Linked DNA regions of Saccharomyces cerevisiae S288C. Changing the gene in region 2 together with the main gene of any one other region gives a genetic interaction. Each region holds a gene or a part of one and is shown on either strand. Other genes may lie near its edges.

Evidence for each region.
Region 1: mutations in SNG1 (region 2) and NCE102 impair growth when combined (synthetic growth defect), as found in Saccharomyces cerevisiae (one study listed by BioGRID).

What each region holds. Positions count from the first base shown.
Region 1 is NC_001148.4:828,218-831,494, forward strand, and holds NCE102 (Nce102p), read left to right. Parts: upstream 1-1,700; coding exon 1,701-2,222; downstream 2,223-3,277. Other genes in the region: SUE1 (Sue1p), read right to left, coding at 2,838-3,277. UniProt on the Saccharomyces cerevisiae protein: Involved in membrane organization. Required for the formation of membrane compartments of CAN1 (MCCs), localization of CAN1 at the MCCs and subsequent invagination of the plasma membrane at the MCCs sites.
Region 2 is NC_001139.9:891,533-896,775, reverse strand, and holds SNG1 (Sng1p), read left to right. Parts: upstream 1-2,635; coding exon 2,636-4,279; downstream 4,280-5,243. Other genes in the region: YPP1 (Ypp1p), read right to left, coding at 1-2,083; FYV8 (Fyv8p), read left to right, coding at 4,590-5,243. UniProt on the Saccharomyces cerevisiae protein: May function as a N-methyl-N'nitro-N-nitrosoguanidine (MNNG) export permease.

The DNA of each region.
Region 1 (3,277 bases), on a different chromosome or scaffold from region 2:
CATTATTATTTCAAGAGAAATGAAAACCAAAACTGGGATATGCGTGTCGAGTGCTAAAAAAAGCCAACTAGCGATTTAAGAGTGAGAAGTAATCCTCGTTAAAAGCGATGCAGAGCCAACTAACTAAACTGCTAACCTCGCTTTCTTTACACAAGTAGTACTCAAGAAGTTTCATAAAATGCCCAGTTACACACTCGTGAAATGCACTTCAAGGTGGTGTTACAATTTTCACGAACTGCAACAATTGAGTATATTTATTAAAGCAGGAATATGTTTGCCCAATCAAACGTAATTTCATATATGAACATATATGAAGTTGCACACATCAGCGGGAAAGATGTCTCTACCGCTCGAGGAGCCACACGTTTGATTTGCAATCCATGAAATAGAACTGCTAATCCCATATACAATTAACTATATCAATTTCCTGAACAAAGAGATTACAATCAACGGCAAAGCCGCCTGCCTCTCCGGAGATCTCCTTTTTTCTTCTTTCTTTTGTCCTATGTTGCATAGTTGCTCATGTCTTTTCCTTAGGCGGACAATTAAGAGCAGCCACAATATTTCCAAAACTAAATTGCTAAAAAAGCGTAGCAAAAAATTCTCGTCATTCCCACTTTCCCTACCTTAACCCTTGATGTTAACGCCGTTTCGCTCATCGGAACAAACTATACAGATAATTAAGCTTTTCGGCAGCGGTGAGAAAGGAAGCAGCCAGGAGGAATACGCGGCTTTCTCGCGGAGCCCGATTGCCGATACAAAGGAACTGTTGCCTCCTCCCGGCTATTTCCATAGGCCTTCATTCAGCATACTGTTGTGTAGTTGCATCACATCCTTGTTGAATGAATTCCAACTATTTCGATAAACCATCCCATGAAGGAGAATGCAATGCGGCTTTTGTTTGTAAACGGGCTTGAGAGGTTCTATGCGGTTAATTCTGTCACTAGGGGTCCGAATCTCGGATTAAGTATAAAATATGTATTACCCTGATGATTGACCGGATGATGTAAGGATGCATGTCCCTACTGTTTTGGTATTTCCACATACGGACGGGGCCCCGAAACACCACCCCCATTTTAACGGCCGCATCTGAGCATCGGCCCATTTGGCACACGCCCGTTAGTGACGTTGGTAGGGGCATTTCCCTGAGGTAGGCCCAAGGTTGCTTTAAAAGGTCCATCGCAAACCCCTTGTCCGCGGACCTCTGCGTCATAATTAAAATGCCCAAAACATAAAAGTGATCGCCCCCTCACAGAAACTTATGGGCAGCTTGCTGCCTTAACGGAATTGACTAGAATTGGTTTGATTTTTTTTTCTTCCTACTTCTTCTTCCATTTCCCTCCCCTCTTCCTCATATATGTATACAGAAAAATCATACCCCTATAAATTCCTTGGCCCCAATCTTCTGTCAGATTTTCCTTTATAAAAGAGTCTTTGTTTTGTAATTAAAAGATACTTTTTTCTTTCTTCTTCTACGTCTCCTTTTTTTTTTTTAAGAAAATTTAACTTATACCACTATTTTGTTCGCAATTGATCAAGAAAAAATACAATTGAAAAGGTTTTACATTTTTAATTTTTCTGCTCATCGCGCTTTTTTAAAAGGATAAATAAACATTTCTTTAAAAAACATCTTCAATAAGAAAAATCGGTTAAAAAAACTTTTCTTCTCAAAGCATACCTAATAACAATATAATCCCATAATGCTAGCCCTAGCTGATAACATTCTACGTATAATAAATTTCCTATTTTTGGTTATTTCCATCGGTTTAATCAGTTCGTTGTTAAACACCCAACATAGGCACAGCTCCAGAGTAAACTACTGTATGTTTGCTTGTGCATATGGTATATTCACCGATTCATTGTACGGTGTCTTTGCCAACTTCATTGAACCATTGGCATGGCCACTAGTTTTGTTCACACTGGACTTTTTGAACTTTGTGTTCACTTTCACTGCCGGTACAGTGTTGGCCGTTGGTATCAGAGCTCACTCATGTAACAACAGCTCATACGTTGACAGTAACAAGATTACTCAAGGTTCCGGTACCAGATGTAGACAAGCTCAAGCCGCTGTTGCATTCCTCTACTTCTCTTGTGCCATCTTTTTGGCTAAGACCCTGATGTCTGTTTTCAACATGATCTCCAATGGTGCCTTTGGTTCTGGTTCTTTCTCCAAGAGAAGAAGAACTGGCCAAGTCGGTGTTCCAACCATTTCCCAAGTCTAATTGAAGCGCACCAACTTAAATTTTACGCCACTTTCAATTAAGAATATAATAAATGGACACCGTGAATAAATTAGGGAAAAAAGAAAGCAAATAAGAAAACTCCGTTTTCCCTCATCCCTTTCCGTCTTTCGGAAGAAACAAAAAATTATACCCAAGGAAAACCCGAAAAAAATGAAAAAAATACCAGAAAAAAAATAACAAATCATATGCACTTCTTCATTAACGATTATGAAGAAGTCTTATTTCTAACTAATATTATTATTATTATTATTATTATTATCATTCACCCCGCTTTCTTTTATTATAATTTGTTCTTCTAATATTTTAATTTTTAATCTTTTCATACTATTCTTATATCTAACTAAAGTATCCTTCTCTTTGTCTAGTTTTACTTCACTACATACCTGTTGCGTTGATTTGAGTTTTTTGTATGTAAGTTCTGTTTATCCTTTTTCATCCTACCGTTCCGCGCACGGCGTGACGTGGATCCCTAATGTGAGTTCAAATCGGTTACAAAAATTAATAGTTTTGTTTCCTATTATTATTATTATTATTATGTATGAGGAATCGTGCTATAAAATCATTTTCCATATGTATATGCCAAATATTTATTATTTATTTCATCTTTTTTTTGCTTTTGTGTGTCAACCGCATTTGCAGTGCCTTGTCAAACGGCTTCAACTTTCTCATCATATATGGGGGCACGTTTTTCCATTCAGGAAAATATTCCATACCCATACTGGACGTAGACCACCAATTGAATGGCAACAGCTCATTGGGTACGGTGGGATTGTACTTCCATGTACCGTTCACGCCACCTGACATTATACCACCAGTGCCACGTTCACCAAACAATATGTTCTTGTGCTTTTTCTCATCGATCGTCTTCGCCTCTGCGTTTGTTTTCTCGTTCATTGTTAATAACGTTTGCAAGGACTTTCTCTTCTTATCTCTGAATAGCGGGTTTTCCTTCACTGGGTACATTACTGGCCTGTATCCGCTATACAGAATATCGCGGGTGAGCTCCCTAGCTTCCAAATACTGTGTAGTAGGTA
Region 2 (5,243 bases):
GAACTGTTTCAAATTCCTTTAATGCCACGCCTGGTTCATCTTTTATTATTGATAAATAACCGTTAGCAATATTACAATTTAAATTCTTGAATTTACTTTCGACATTGGAGGCTTCTTTGATGGCGGCCTTGGCATCCTCATCATTGTCTTTTGTTCTCATGTACATATTTGCAGCAAAAATCCACACCATTTGTAAAAGATATTCTTTAGTTTGAGAATATTTGGGACCCATGCTGTTCAATTCAGGTTGTGAATCTGGAAATAATGTTGCGTATAATTCAAAGACCTCTGGAAGTGTCTCCAGTGCCTCTAAAGTGCCAAAAATTTCTTCAATTAGCGCCAATTGCGTTAATTTTAGGTGAATAAATTGCCATCTATCATTCAGAAGTAAAGTATTGTTCTGAAGACTTTCATTCATAGCTTCTAGAACAGAGCAAACTATCTTGTACGACATTTCCTTATCCTCTTGCACAGACCTACAAAGAGCTAATAGATGCCAAGCTTTGTAGTAATTTGGGTTTTTACTTAATATCAATGATTCTAGAGTCTTGATTGCAGTTTCAATGTGCCTCTGTTGTGCTAGAGTGTAAGAATATTTAAATTGTAATTCACGTAATGCCTTCTCCTCCTCTCCTTCTTCCTGCTCTTCTACATCAGCATTGTCTTTTTCTTTTGTGGACAGCATCATTGCATTACATAGATATGAAGTCAAATTATTAGATACAAGAAAATCTAACTGATATTTTCTGATTTCGTACAATGTTGACCACGCATTTGTTAGAACTTTCGAAATGTTTCCTGGGTATACACATCTGGTGCTGTTTTCTAGCCAATCTAAAGATTCTGATTGGCTCATTAATGGCAAATTATATTCTTTGTAGAAGGAATTCAAGGAAGTCGCAAACGTAGATACCGTATTATCGTAATCAAAAACATTTTCGATTGAATCGGTTTTGGAGGAGTTTTGTAAAATAAAAGAATACGCATCAATGAATGAAATTATGTCACGGTGGGAGTTATCGTGCAGTTGATAGTACTTGTCGTTGTATTTCACAAAATTAACAAAATTTAGTATAGATTCTCTTTTAAATGTCTTCTTCTTTATTTCGTCATTACTGTTATCGCTTAGGTTTTGGAAAAGAAACATTGCTGTTTTCGAAACTTCAATACTTTGAAAAGTCTTTTCCATTGAAGATATTATGAAATTATACCAACTGGGATTCACTTTTATTTTTTTTATGTGAGTGAATTTGAAATAATACTGCAAAAAGACATTAAAATGCTCCAAAGCTTCATCATTTGTCTCACTAGCAGTAGGAAATTTGGCCTTCAACAAAACGTTCTGTCCGAACTTCAAATAAAGATCATCATTATCAATGTGCTTTTTGAGAGGTGACTGGAACTTCTTTATCATGTAAAGGAAAAGAATAAAAGGATTTTCGACGGTAGTTTTAAAATTTTCTGCTAAATCCTGAATTTGATTGAACCTGAGTTTTGCGACGATCAAGCTGATGTATTCGAAAAGAAGACCGTTTGATTCGGGAGGGATCGTATCCACGTGGGCCAGTAGTTCTTTGTAAAAAACATTTTGCATGATATTTATGTCTTGCGAAACTAGACCACGGTAGTACAGGTTTTCTACGATCAAATACCTATCATACTGCTCCATAAGTGCTGTTTTTTGCGATGCAGTGTTATTATGAATTTTCAACGAGTGCAGCAAGCACCGCTGCGATTCCTGAAATTGGCCCCTGTGGAAGAAAAGAATACCGAGGCAATTGAACAGAATTTTCTCCACTAGTTTTGTAATCTCCGGATAGTCATTCAACTCCTCCATCATACTCATATTCTTTTCTAAATTTTGACTTTCCTTCAGTAAAACATCACAAACTGGTTTTGCAGGCCCATTCGATCCAATAACATGGTAATGTAGTCTAAACTGTAAGTTAAGTACGGAATCTAAACTATCAAACCCTGAATTGAAGGTGCTGCCACCTAAGAGTCGCGCTCTTAGCGCTTGGTCGACCACATCTATTATCTTCGATGGAACAGTAGGAGGAATCCGAACATTTGAGTTAGGCATTGGGCAAGTTGGTATTGAACTTCTTTCCAGCTGGCGTGTTCAACTTGTTCCTTCCAGTATGCCACACATTATGCCTTGCACACCTAAAGCACATATTTTCGTTATTTTTCACCACAATAGGTGGATCTCGAAAAGGATGGAAAATCAGGAAAAAGAAATGTTGAGAAAAAAATAAACCGATTCCCGTTTAGTTTTCTCCTATTTCCGTGTATATGCGTGGTTATTCGTTTTCGAATCCTTTTATGAATGTCCGAGGAGGTGGTACAATCCGAAATAGACTAAAGAAAAGCGAAAGCCGTGAGTTTGTTTGATGATAGATGACTCGCAGCTTTGTCATCAACGGGCCACCCTATTCGAAGAAGGGAATGGAAAACGGACTGGCGTAGTCAATAAGCGTCTTCATATCTTAGCATTGTTGAGAGATACATAGTGTACTCCATATCGTTCTTTTTTTTTGTATATATCAAGCCACATATCCTGTTTCTTTAATCTTTTATACGCCGTAAGAATCGGGTACTGACATAAGTGTAAGTAGCCGTACAGAGAACAAATATGACTAAATCGGTTGGTGATGAAGAGTCACAGTACATTGAGGACCCTAGTTTTGCAGCAGCAGCTGCATTTACTGGCGGCAGGGACGGGGTTTCGTACAGTAATCAGCGATTTGCTGAGGGTTCCGGCCATTCTTCTGACTTAGCAAAGTCATTAGAAGACTATCGGCCTCCTGATGAAAAGCCGTCCTCATTGTCATCTGTGGGGGAAGGTGGCGCTAATGAGGAAGAGAAGGGCGGTAACGACGGCGGTCCCTTGGCAAGAATTCAAACAGGGCTTTTTTCTCCAAGACTGCGAAATCATAGGAAAAAGATTCTCTCGAAGTTTGTTTTGAACAACTTCTTCATTGCTTGTGTGTGTGTATCGCTCATATCGATTTACTGGGGTGCCTGTTACGGAACAGATCGTTACTTTTTCAAAGTGAAAAATATTGTTGTATTGCAGGATGCGCCATCTAATACTTCAGTTCAATCTATTTCCGCGATCATACCCTCATTGTTAGCGTCTGTCCCCGGGACATGGCATATATACAACGCAACATCATTTCATAGGAAATTTGGTACGACGAACTCCACCGAAATTGACAGAAAGATAGTCGATTTAATTTACGATGAGAGATACTGGCTGGCGTTAAACGTTAAACCTAATGCTACAGACACTTTGTATAATTCTTTGATTAGCCAAGACGCAAACTCGGAGTTCAATTCATCAATTTTTTTTGAATCCGTGTTTGAAAGTGGTCGTGACCCATCGAGTGTTAAATCGACCATTCTACCACTCATGCAACAATTGGAGGTCCGCCTTCAGAAATATTACGTCAAGGAATATCTTCCCTCATTGATGAGCAACATCACTTCTAATGACAGAGATCTTAATATAAACATGGAGAACTGGGCGATTGCAGGACAGTTGTTGTTCACCTACAACGATTATCGTCCCTTTGCTGATCGTATTCTAATGGCCCCTCTGCAGGTCGGTCTGATTTATTGTATTTTGTTAACCGTTTTACAACTGTCATTATATGGTAAGTTGCACGGAGAAATGGCCAGAGTTCTGAAGCCAAAGCATATTTTAATCTACAGGCTTCTAATTTCCTGGGCAACTTATTTTCTTCTTTCCATTGGATTCTGTACCGTATCTGCAATTTTTAGGATCGATTTCACCCCCGCCTTTGGCAGAGGAGGATTCGTAGTATATTGGATGTCTACGTGGTTGGTAATGATGGCTGTTGGTGGTGCCAATGAAAACGTTCTCAGCTTAGTTATAGCTTACTGCCCTCCATACCTGAGTATTTGGTTGATGACGTGGATCATATTAAATATTTCTGCTTCATTCTACCCAATGGTTTTGAACAACGAATTTTACAGGTACGGCTACATAATGCCAATCCATAATGCCGTGGATATCTATAAAGTGATTTTTTTGAATTTAACCAAAAGAAAAATGGGAAGAAATTACGGTATTCTCGTGGCATGGGTTGCCCTCAATACATCCTTGATGCCATTTTGTATGAAGTTTGCAGGTAAAAAAATGCAAAAAAATGCTATGCAAGCAGCAGAAGCCGCTGTCGCAGCAGCTACCCAGCGTGCTAGCCGCCCGGCAGAGGCCAATACTGATAAAAATAACAACCCGCCCGGAAATTAATGGGTAGGGTTAATAGCTTATTCATATATACACTTAATACGATTAAAAATTATTTATATTCTCATCATCATAAGATGAAGATGCAAATATCACAACAATTATATAACGTCGTTTGTTTGTTTGGTGACACATTAGTGTTTCATTCCGGGTAGCTATTTTGTTTTTCTCATGCCAAGAATTCTGTAAGGCACTTAAAAGTATTCCTAAATACCACTTTCATACATGGTTAACAAGGTAAACACAAAACTTGCATTATAGTTAAAAGGGACTGTTTGATCATTACCCTTTTTCTGGAAAGCGGATATTTATTATGAGCACTGAACAGGTCGGTAGAAAGAAATCGTATAGATGGGTTAGCGCATCTCAAGCAAGTTATGACGGCGCTGGATGGGACAGTAGTGACGAATATGACTACTCTTCCGAGGATGGCACAAAAGGTTCAGAAATTCACAAGCAAAAAATATCTAATTTGCCTAGTTTACCCAAGCTCAATTATACAGATGTTAATGGTGAGCATGATGAAAATACGGGTGAAAATAAAGACAGCAATGATAATAACGTCAGTAAGAGTGATATTAGTCCTAGTGACAAGGAAGTAGGCTATCTCTCAGATGGGGTGCCTAAACTTATGGCTTCAAGAGAGTCTGTGGAATTACAAGCGAAAAAATCCAGCGAGCACTCCAAATCAGATTATCTTTCGTCGACAGCATCTTTGAAAAGTCCAAGTGAAAACAAAAAATCACCACATACAAATAGGGCTGTAAACGAAGACCTAGACAATTTGATAGAGCAAATATCAAGGGAGATGACACCAGAAATTAGGCAAACATCTGATTTTCGGCGTGATTCAGACAGTTGTGACGAAATCCAAAACGAAGCACCATTAGGGGAAGCGGTACCCTCTTCATCATCTCCTGTAGAAGAAGATGAAAAATCACATTCCTTAGGGGTTTCAATGGATACT